Linked DNA regions of Arabidopsis thaliana. The protein of the gene in region 2 interacts with the protein of the main gene of each other region in a pairwise test. Each region holds a gene or a part of one and is shown on either strand. Other genes may lie near its edges.

Region 1 (5,672 bases), on a different chromosome or scaffold from region 2:
TTGATTCATCTAAAGGAAGAAGAGCTGCTTTGATGCCACTTTTGGGGAAACCATTGAAGGCGTTGAAGAAGAAGAAGAGATTGCATAATGAAGCAAAAGGGGGAGATTCTTGTGAGGTTGGTTCGATTCAGGAGATATCAGAGAAGAATGTTGATTTATGTGGGAATGGTAATAATGGAGTCTTACGCAAGGAACTGAGAAATGGTTTGTTGAGTGATCATCATCATAGACAAAAGGCGAAACAGATTTGGAAGAAACATGTTTGGGTTGTGTTGATGTTTGATTTCTGCATCTGTGCTGTTTTGTTTGGAATTTGGCTTTGGATTTGTGAAGGGTTTCAATGCATTCAAGGGTAAAAGTTATCATCATCTGTGTACATCTCCAAATTCATATTCTTTGAATCTGCATCAAAATTTGATCATTTGACATCTTTTTTCTGGGTATCCGTTTTTTTGGATCAAATCTGATCCCTTTTGTTATCTCTCTGTTCTTGTCAACTTTTTTCATCTTCTTTGATTTTTAAAGTCGCAAAAAGTGTTGTTTCCAGGAGGAAAACTAGGGTATAGATTGAATCCTGGTTTACATGTTAATGATGTTGTTAATTGTACTTTGGAAGTTAAATCATTCACAAGCAAAATGTGTGTTGTTATTATCTCTTTTTTTTTTCTCGCTTCTCTTTTGTTGTTTGATTCCATAAATGGTGCTGTGATTGAACGTGGGTTACACAATAATAGAGGACAACAAAAGATGGTCTCAGATCCAGTCACACGTTAGTATTTTACTAGATATATACATTGTATCTTTAGTAGTCGGCGTATTTAAAAATAATATTCCCAACGAAAATGAAAGTGAATCCGTGAATCCAAAATCTGTAAGTCTAAGGCTTAAGAGTAGAAAGATGATTACATTACAGACATTATAATAAGTGAACGAAGAGGTTTTGGAAATAAGAAACAAAAGAGAGGGAGAAAGTGTTAAATAATGTGTGTCTCGGTCTCTAGTCTCAGCCACAAGGTGTGAGTTTCTTGTTACCTGCACCGCGAGGATTATCATCCTTCCAATCATCGAAAGCTCTAGCTTTCATCACAGCTTCTTCGTCTTCATCATCATCTTCCTCGTCTTCTTCTTTTCTTCTTAGAGGTTTATCATTGTACCATGAGGTGGTTGCTTCTTCAATGGCTTTTTTCGTCTGCTCTTGCCAATCATTCATTATGTTCATCTCTGTTAACCCAGCATCCTCTATGCACATTGTTGGCATCCTACAAAACCCAAGTTTAATCACCATTTTTAAATCTCAAAAAGGATTAAGATTTTGTAATGAGCAATATTTTGTGTCTACCTGTGACTTGGTTGGAAGACCTGAGCTATCATTCTTTCTCTCTCGGTAGAGAGCGGTCCACCCACGATGCTTGCTGGACCGAATATAAGAGGTTGGTTCTTGTGTTCGTGACCTTGTGATACCGAAGCTCTTCCTTCTAACACATCTTGTGCAAATGTGGCACAAGTGATTGGTTGTGCCGGTTTAGAGTACTGTATCCTTGCAGCAGCGTCTCTGTGCCAGGTTTCAGCTTTCTTTGTACGATCATCAAGAGCATCCCGAGAAAATCCACCCTCTCCATCCTGATCAAAATATCATAACACGTTTTCTTCTTTTATATGTTTATCAAATAGTTTTGTTCGCACCTAAAAAAACTAACACCACGGTAAGCTACCTTCAACTGTCTTTCCTTTATTGCAGAGAGCATTTCCTCTTCTCTCTTTAGCATTTCCAACAGATCAATAGCCTGTAACGAAGTTCAATCATAAGATAATGCCTCCTCAACTTGTGACAAATCATAGGGTTCTAATGAAATGATTTTTAGACAAACCTTACAAATAGCCAAGTTAATTGAGGAGAGCCAGGCCTGCAGAGGAAAGCAATAAGACAAGAAAGCTTAGAAGAAAAAATCGAATTAGAGAAAGCAGCAAAACAAAAAGTGGGACAAACCTCTCTCTCTTCTTCGCTGTCATCATCTGGAATATCATCTTCTCCAGATTCAACCGGAGTCGACAAAGCTGATGCTTTAGTGGAACGTCCACGTCGCTCCTTCCTCTCTTTAATTTCAAGAAGCTTTGCCTCTGCAGCCTTTTGACGTTTGAACCGAGCTATCTACAAAGTACCATAATCATGAAGACACAACACGCATTTCAAAATCCGAAAACTTTAAACTTCATTCTCGTCAGAACATAAACAAAAGAAACAGGGCTGAATCTACCTTGAGAGCCCTTCGATCAGCAGGTGCACCAGAACCTCCTCGTGAAGAAGCCTCCAACTCCTCATCCGGAACAAGCTCCATTGCCTCACAGAACGAAAAGAACTCCTAGACACAATAACAAAACTATACATCAATCTCAAAAAAAATCCAACCAAATGCTCATTCCCACTTGCAATAGCATCAAAGGGATACAAAAACATGTAAACACTCAGCAGAAAACTAACCTTCAACTTAGCATACGAGGCTTTGACAATCTGAATCCGGTCCTCCTGTATGATTTTCTCTGTCAACTCCGCAAGATAATAAGGCACCTATAATCACAAGACAATATAATCCCTCGTCACTTTATAGAAATGTCAACTCGCAACACAATCTTATGATCTCAACACAATCTTATGGTCTCCACACAGAGTAAGTTCAATGGAAAACGTTACAATCCAAAATCTCAGACTCCATTTTGAATTTCAGTCAGTAGCTAAAACTAGAAGCATCAGGACAAGCTAAAGTTTTTCACTTTCAGATCTTTCCACACCAAAACTAATAACAAAACTAGAATACAAACAAATTACAAAAATCCAAACAACAGAGACTCAATTGCATACCAAAAGATATTTGAGATTGTTGGTGCTAATATCTTCTTTAGTCTCGTTAGACGAAAACAGCGCCAGCTTCCCGATCATATCTTCGCACTTCTGAAACATCTCACATCCTTTCTTCACAACATCCTAACAAACCAAAGGAAAAGAATGAACTAAGCATCCCCGGAAATGTCCAATTCAGTAAAAACTCGCGATTCGGATTCGAAATACCCATTTCAGATAAACACCCTAATCGAATCTGTATATAAAAAAGAGGTAGAAGCTTCCACCTGATCAACACCAGACTCTGAAGCAGCAAGATGAATTTTCCTAGCTTGCTCGAATAGCACCGATAAAGGCATTTCCTCCATAGCCAAACCACCCATCACAGGCAACAATTCAAAATTCCTTAATGAAATCGAATCCACAAGAATCGAGTTTCTTCGAGAAGAGGATCGTCTTTTGAATTTTTTTAGGGTTCCAAATCGAAATCTGACTAATTTACCACGAGTACACACAGACAGAGGAGAGAAAATGTTAACCGCGAAGAGCTTTATAAGGGACGGTTGAGATTTTGCCGCGTCAGGTGAAGTAGATAACTCGAATTCTATTAGCCGTTAGATCTGTCCACAACCTCAAAAGTCAAAAACCGACTCAGTTGTATAAAAATATCAAGTCAAAGATCAGGTGCGGCGGGTGTAGTGTAAAACCGCCACGAATGTGATTGTGGCTATGGTATATGAATGTTTACTGTTTTTTTTCTTAATTTGAATGGAGATGAAATTTTCTTGATTTTTGTACGAGTAGGAGTATGAATAAACTAGTATCGCACCCGCTGTCTAAGCAGCCCGAATTGTCGTAGTGTTATTGATTCGATCGACCTATAGCAGTAAGGAATGGTGGATACCGATAACTAAAGCCACCTCAATCGCGGTGAATCAGCTGGATCCAAAGATTTAGGAACATCCAACAAACAATTCATGAATCGAAAACGAAGAGGTGCATTGATTGAACAGAGCTTACTATATATACTATATATGACTGTCACCCATTACAGTCTACATAGCTTGAAAGGGAAATGGATACAGAACTTAAATGTTTGACTTTCACGCATTTCACTCGACATATCTTCAAGAGGAAAATGAATTGACTGAATAAACTGTAGTATGCTATATACACAGCACAATAATCCGCATTATTTAATCTCTCACGCACACCCGCGCAGAGAACAACAGCCTCCTAAGCGACCAAAGCTAGAGGGATGCTTCAAAAGTTGACCTGAGATGAGAACTGCAAGTTGAGAGAAACTACTTGCCAGATCTAAAATAAGATAGTCATATGCGATTCATTAGGAGACTTTGGGAGTGAATGGTTCTTACTTCTTACGAGAATTGAGCCATACGGCAAGAGAAATCTCAGTTACGATGATATTGGATGGCTGGGTAAGGGTAGCGAGTGGCGACTTGGCTGAAAAAAGGTTAAATTTACGTATTGAGAAAAAATGTGAAGAGTAAAAAATTAAAGAAAGTAGTTGAGGATGTTTATGAGCAGAACCTGAGTAACCCCAAAAGACTTGTCGTCACCCATTTTTTCAAGTCAATGAAAATGCCTGCGAACTTGATCACGATTATCTGATATGAAAGAACAGAAAGAGAGTATATATGGTTTAGGGATATATAAGAAAAGACAAATGTTGTGTTCACTTGTAAAGAGGACTTACCTGAGATATGATAGTTGAGGTTATTGTAACGAGAAACATATTCTCTCTAAGGACTTCTTTGAAGGTTTGGTCTACACTTTGGATTTCAAACTCATTAAAAACCTGCGTTATTTTAGAAAGATAGAGAGATGATCAACATATGAACTCTAATTAGAAGAGTGGGAAAAAATCAGATATTACCAGGTAGAAGACAAAGGAATTGAATATCAATGTGTTCATCATTTTTTCGGCATTGCCCGTCTGACCATGCTTCAGCTTCAGTAGCTTCTCAGAATTTATGAGTACCAGCGAGAGCACTAGGTAAAATACCTGGAGGAAGGTATTTCATGACACAAGCATTATTAGAGGTCTCCAAACCAGTGTGTTTGTCTCTAATCTAAATAATTAATTAGTTTAATATCACCAAGGAATTGTATTTGCTCCTTGGAAACTATGAAGGTGTGAAATACTTAATCTGACATTAACGTCCACACATGATCAATCGAGGATTTTACCCTACATACCTGAATTATCATCTTGGACCACATCGTCTTGGTTATAAGAGGATCTCTGAAAAACAAAAAATGTACACATGCATATGTACTATCAGTTTGTGTATATTCACCTAGAACAGATAGTGTGTTTTAACAAGAATTGCAAAACCAACAGTTTCTTCAAAACCTTCAGCATCAATACATTAATGTCTCTTTCTAAGCCAACTCTATATTGACTTAATAATCAAATCTTATCCTTGATCCTATTCAGAATTTGTACCTTATACCAACCGGTGGCTTTCCCATTAGGTGGTGATCAGATCTTGGTCTGTATGCCAAAGCTAATGCTCCTAAGATGTCGATAATTAGATTAACCAACAGAAACTGCATCAGGAAAAAGCAAAAACTGGGTTAGGGAAAAGGTTTCCAATCTTGGAAAAGCTGGATAACAAGATGATGAAGTAACAAAGGGATAACATTTTGAACCTGCACGGCGTTAAGGGGAAATGCATCATAAACTACAACCTCAACCACACAGACAGCCAATGCTGATACACTGACAGTGAGGCGGAATAGGATAGATTTCTGGACATTGTTGTACAGAGATCGAGACCATATGATACACTGCATTATCCAAACAAGCCTC
Region 2 (5,282 bases):
AAACTTCATAATATAGCTGACTATATTTTTATTTTCAGCTATTACATTATTAAAATAGTATAAACGGTAATCTTATATATACAGTAGACTTTTTGGCCAAAAATCTCTATACTATTTCATCCCTACACAGTTTACCTTTCATATGGTTCTTCCAGAGTCACACAGATGCAACTCATTAAAAAAACATAAGGTACTTGGAGATCAACTGAAGATAACAAATGAGCTCACACCAGATAGTTCAAGAGATTCACATGCATAAGGCGGATAGTAGCAATGCAGATCAACTGGAGATAACGAATGAGCTCACACCAGAAGAAGCGAGAAGCTATGCGATATCCCAATTGCCTCGGGAAATCTCAAAGCACATTCGTTTTGCCTTCGACTCACCTGGTTATGAACCGTTCTTTGCTTCTCAACTGGGTATATACGCACCACAGAAAGCGTGGGATGTGGCTAGAAGAGCCAGCATGAGGTCACGAGCCAAAGCATCAAAGAAGAATTGAAAGGAGAAGCAGAAAATAGATATGAGTTGTGTTGTACATTTAGGCTGTCACACCATACTGGAAGTTTTGTTAGGCCAGTATTGGAAATATGTAGAAATCTTCGGTTTGGCGTCTTTGTTTGTAATGCATTTAGTTTTCAAAGTCTTTATTCTGGGGTATTTAGGCACAAATGAGAAGACAAACGCTCAATTTTATAGATATAGAAGCCTCTCCTACAAACTTTTTTATAGCAATCACCTCAACAACAGAAAAAAATGATGTGTTTCTTTTTTTCTAGGGGAAATTCGAACTCCACTTAGAAAAAAGAAGAGAAAAGGGCACATCTACAATGATACATAGGCAATAAAACTGGAACTTCAAAAAATTATATATGGTCGGGACCACAAAAAAAAACAGAGAAATCACAAAAAATAATCAGGGGTCTTCCGAGTAGTATCAGGTTCAACTTGTCGAGGAGCTGGATCGAACTGGAGGAAGTTTTGCTCCATGTTCTCTCCTATCTCTAGAATGGCAGCCATGTTTCCACACCGGTAGCAATAGTTTGGTGCACTAAACACAGTCACCACATTCTTATCCTGTTACCATACAAAGGAGAGATCAACGATTCAATCTGAGAGAGAGACTAATCATGCCGTAAGAATGTTCATACCTGACACCAGTTAAAACCTTCCATGACAAGTTGATGCGCTCTTGATATGAGACTTAGTCCATTGTTGTGATTAAATTGAGCTGCGATATCCTGTCCAAATGTATAACCAGCACCTCGTGGAGATATTCCCCATCCACATCGATCATCAGGATCAGACCATAATAAATCACACATAGGTCCTTCGTGTGGAACCTACAGATCACACATCATACATAGTTCAAAGAGCTGAACAATAAGATGTCATAAAAAATTCCAAACGTTTGTGCTCTTTGTAATTGTATCTTAAGTAGAGACAAGACACTGAGACCCAGGAAGGACTCATAACTCTTCCAACTAAGTCCACACTAAGGCCTTTAGCAGAGAACAAGAAGGTTACCTCCTGTATCCGATCCAAGCTTCGGATATTATCAAGAGTATCCAGAGAAGGTGAAAGCCCTCCATGCAAACAGAAAACCTACAAAATTTGATGAAGTCAAAAAGCTGTACTTAGAAAAAGATGTATCAAACACCAACTGAGAAAGAACAGCTCTAACCTGACTCTCTATGAGGGCGGTAAGAGGAAGATAATCGAAAAGGTCTGTAAAATACTTCCAGACGTTAGCATTTCCGTACTTCCTCAAGCATTCGTCATAAAAACCATAGCTGAAACAGAGAAGCAAAACATGCATCAAAACAGGATAGTACTTTGCTGATCAGCCAGAAACCAATGAAGAAAAGTACGATTCGCTCAAATATAAGCTTATTTCAAAACAAAAGCTTACACTTGAGTAATCTGCCGACTCTCGTGATTCCCTCGTAAGATTGTAAGTCTATCCCTGTATCGCACTTTTAGTGCCACCAATAGAGAAACTGTCTCTACTGAATAGTAGCCACGATCTGCAAAGAACAAAGCAAGACAATGAGAAACCAACAACACTCCTTTTAAACTAAATCTAGCTGTCACCATCTTATGGTACACCAACGAATGGTTAAAGTTCCAAGGATCTAAAGACTAGAATTCAAGGGAAGTGCAATAATGAAAGTGAGCATCAACAAGTCTCTATATTGGGAAGTTTCAGTACCTACCATTCCAAAAAAAAACAGAACCCACAAGTAACTCACTCTAGATAAATAAAAAGGTGGATACTTTTCCAAGAATTCACCATTTTGGAATGATCCAAAAACACAGATCTAAAATGAGAAAAAAAAGTAAAAACCCCAAAAATAAAATCGAAAGAAGAAGAAAGACAGACCTACATAGTCTCCCATGAAGAGGTAGTTAGTATCAGGAGCGTTGCCACCGATACGAAAGAGCTCAATAAGGTCATAAAACTGGCCGTGAATATCGCCGCAAACGGTAACAGGACACTTCACCGGCTGAACATTATATTCCTCGACAAGGATCGCTCTCGCTTGATCGCAAAGCGTCCTCACATCCGCCTCCGATAACGGTTTACACTCCATCAGCTGCTCGATCTGACGGTCCAGATCTCCGTTCGACGGCATCTTGAAAAGCCACCACCGATCCTATATACGAAAATTACGGCGGATAAAGAAGATGAATCGCCGGAGAATCTATCGGCCAGAGCTAAGATATCCGAATCGGAGAGATCAAATCCTCCTAGCTTCTCTGGTCTTCGATAGTTCGATGTCTCTCTCTCTCACCTGGCTGAGAAAAAATGGATATTCGTTTTTTTTTTTTAAAGACTAAAAGTGGGTCGTGTCCAAATAGACAAAGTATAAATGTTTTATGACCCGGTTAAGGTTCGGTTTTGTGTTAATTTTATTAGTCTCGCCAATTGTTATAAAACTTATGATTGTTTTTTTTCTTTGGTTCAAAATAAAATTTTGAGTTTTAGTTGTTTTTTCTTCTGTTAAATTCGTTGGTGTTTTCAACTTAATTCTAGTTGTTTTCGGTCAAATTATCAAAAAAAAAAATGAAAAAAAAAAGAGAGAATTGAGACCAAACCGGATCGGATTTGAATTGTGAACCGTTACACGTGGGTAGTTGGAGCAGAGCTATTGTCATTTGAACTTGTCTAAACGATAAGTATATATGGACAAATCATCTCCTCCTCTCATCCGGTAATTATAATTAGTCAACTAATGTTTTCATATTATGTTTTAGATTTGACAAATTTGCTTTTAAGTTTTTAATGTTGACATGATCGTCGACTATGAGGCAAGTTCCTCGTCGAACAAATGGGCCTGGAGAATCTGGTAGAGCGGCCCATGGTAACAAAAATAAAAGAAGGGGCGTTCCGAGAATTGAACTCGGGACCTCTCGCACCCTAAGCGAGAATCATACCACTAGACCAAACGCCCATTGATGATAGCTCTGACAATACATATTTATATTTAGAAAACATTTTGAACCATTAATTTTGCTATTAAATTGATGCAAATCAAACCTAATTAAAGTTTATCATCTAACACAGTATGAAAATTCATAGACCAAACATTTTTCCCTTGCATATTCTTCCCACTTGTAAGAAAATGTGACCGAGCTTTTTAGGTAAAATTAGGATATTATACTTTACTTACTACAAACGAATATTAATAAACCAGATTTAGTTTGAATAGACTGGAATATTATGTTTCGTTTTTATAACCTTAAATCAAATCCTCACTTACGCATAGGTAATGAAAGTTGAAAGAAAAAAAACCCTAACTCTGCTTTTTACTTGGTTTTTGATTTACATAATATTAAACCGGTAAGTTTGATTTGGAATTGAAAAATAAACCAATTTCGTACGTAACCTTCCATTTAGCTCCGAAGGTTCTGATTACATACAGACATGAAGATTTCTTTGGGTATATAAGCAAAACAAGCTCCTCTCTTTTTCTTCTTCTTCCTCGTTCCGTTGCCTTACCCTCTTCCCTCCTCCGCTTCCAAAATCAGCGAGAGAGGGAGACACATAGAGAGACAGAGAGATTGCTCCTAATCAGAAGCAATCTCACCATTGAATCATCTATTTTCTACCAAAAGGAAGCTTCTTTTGCTTTTCATTTTGCCAAGTTTCCGTCTAAATCTCTCTACTTTAAAACTCCGGCGGCCAACGTTTCCACCGATCCTCCGACTTCTTTCCGAGTTTCATCTTCTAACAAAGGAACGAAGAAGCTCTCTTCACCGTTTGAGTAACGTGATCCGGTCTACAAAGGTTTTAAATCAAAATCTCTTGCTCAGAATTTTTCCTCGTTTTTTGTGATTTCTCTTAAGATTTTCCGATGAGAGATCTATTACTTGGGACAACGATTCCGAGCTATTTCTCTTGGCTTGGACTATTTCCACGGTTCTTAGTTTGGTTTGGCTTCTTAAAAGCCTCTTTTTTTTGTTCTTCCAGAAATCAGTCTGCGGGAGAAAGTGGAAGAAGACTGAAGATGAAGAGAGCTAGAGAAGATGTTCACACTGACACTCAAAAGCGAAAGCCTGAAGTTTCGTCTCGAGGAGAAACGTAACTCTCTTACTCGATAAACCCAATTTTTTATTGTTTGTTCTTTTCAATTTTACATTTGTTCGGTAGTCCACAAGTTATATTCTTCAATGTAGTTTGATGCAATTGAAATGTGTAAGAGTATTTGAAAGTTACATGTGTTTGTGCTATGCAGAAACAAGCTACCTCGAACCATCGATGCCCTAACGTATCTCAAAGCTGTGAAGGATATTTTTCACGACAATAAAGAGAAATATGAGTCATTCCTGGAGCTCATGAAGGAGTTCAAAGCTCAGACGTATTTTTACTTCGCTTCTCTTCTTGTTTAGTTTCATTTTGCCTTTCTTATGTGTTGTATTGTGGATGTCACATTGTGAACTGCGTATACTCATGGTGTCTTATCTTGGTTGCAGAATCGACACTAATGGTGTCATAGAAAGGATTAAAGTGTTGTTCAAGGGTTACAGGGACCTACTTTTGGGTTTTAATACTTTCTTGCCCAAAGGGTATAAAATAACCCTTCTGCCAGAGGAAGAGAAGCCTAAGATCCGGGTGGATTTCAAAGACGCTATCGGTTTCGTCACCAAGATTAAGGTATGGATGTAATATGGTACTAAATGGCATACTAAGGTAATGATGATTTATATCAGTTAAGGTTTACTGGGGTTTCTACTTTTGCAGACGAGGTTTGGAGATGATGAACATGCGTATAAACGG

The links. Proteins that work in one complex are often made in the same cells at the same time.
Region 1: the proteins of PP2A-2 (region 2) and TAP46 interact in a two-hybrid assay, tested with the Arabidopsis thaliana proteins (one study listed by BioGRID).

Annotation. Positions count from the first base shown.
Region 1 is NC_003076.8:21,484,651-21,490,322, forward strand, and holds TAP46 (2A phosphatase associated protein of 46 kD), read right to left. Parts: upstream 3,393-5,672; 5' UTR 3,220-3,392; coding exon 3,124-3,219; intron 2,981-3,123; coding exon 2,858-2,980; intron 2,567-2,857; coding exon 2,480-2,566; intron 2,361-2,479; coding exon 2,256-2,360; intron 2,150-2,255; coding exon 1,988-2,149; intron 1,905-1,987; coding exon 1,869-1,904; intron 1,785-1,868; coding exon 1,713-1,784; intron 1,621-1,712; coding exon 1,340-1,620; intron 1,260-1,339; coding exon 1,004-1,259; 3' UTR 667-1,003; downstream 1-666. Other genes in the region: AT5G52990 (SNARE-like superfamily protein), read left to right, coding at 1-356; AT5G53010 (calcium-transporting ATPase), read right to left, coding at 4,249-4,300, 4,388-4,464, 4,554-4,655, 4,734-4,862, 5,057-5,102, 5,307-5,410, 5,513-5,650. UniProt on the Arabidopsis thaliana protein: Involved in the positive regulation of the TOR signaling pathway. Acts as a negative regulator of PP2A catalytic activity. Plays a positive role in the ABA-regulated inhibition of germination, probably throught its interaction with ABI5.
Region 2 is NC_003070.9:3,427,801-3,433,082, forward strand, and holds PP2A-2 (protein phosphatase 2A-2), read right to left. Parts: upstream 3,125-5,282; 5' UTR 3,101-3,124; intron 2,837-3,100; exon of another isoform or gene 2,801-2,836; 5' UTR 2,638-2,800; coding exon 2,385-2,637; intron 2,029-2,384; coding exon 1,914-2,028; intron 1,795-1,913; coding exon 1,686-1,794; intron 1,607-1,685; coding exon 1,529-1,606; intron 1,345-1,528; coding exon 1,153-1,344; intron 1,079-1,152; coding exon 905-1,078; 3' UTR 678-904; downstream 1-677. Other genes in the region: SNL6 (paired amphipathic helix Sin3-like protein), read left to right, coding at 4,360-4,586, 4,741-4,863, 4,979-5,159, 5,247-5,282. UniProt on the Arabidopsis thaliana protein: Dephosphorylates and activates the actin-depolymerizing factor ADF1, which, in turn, regulates actin cytoskeleton remodeling and is involved in the blue light photoreceptor PHOT2-mediated chloroplast avoidance movements.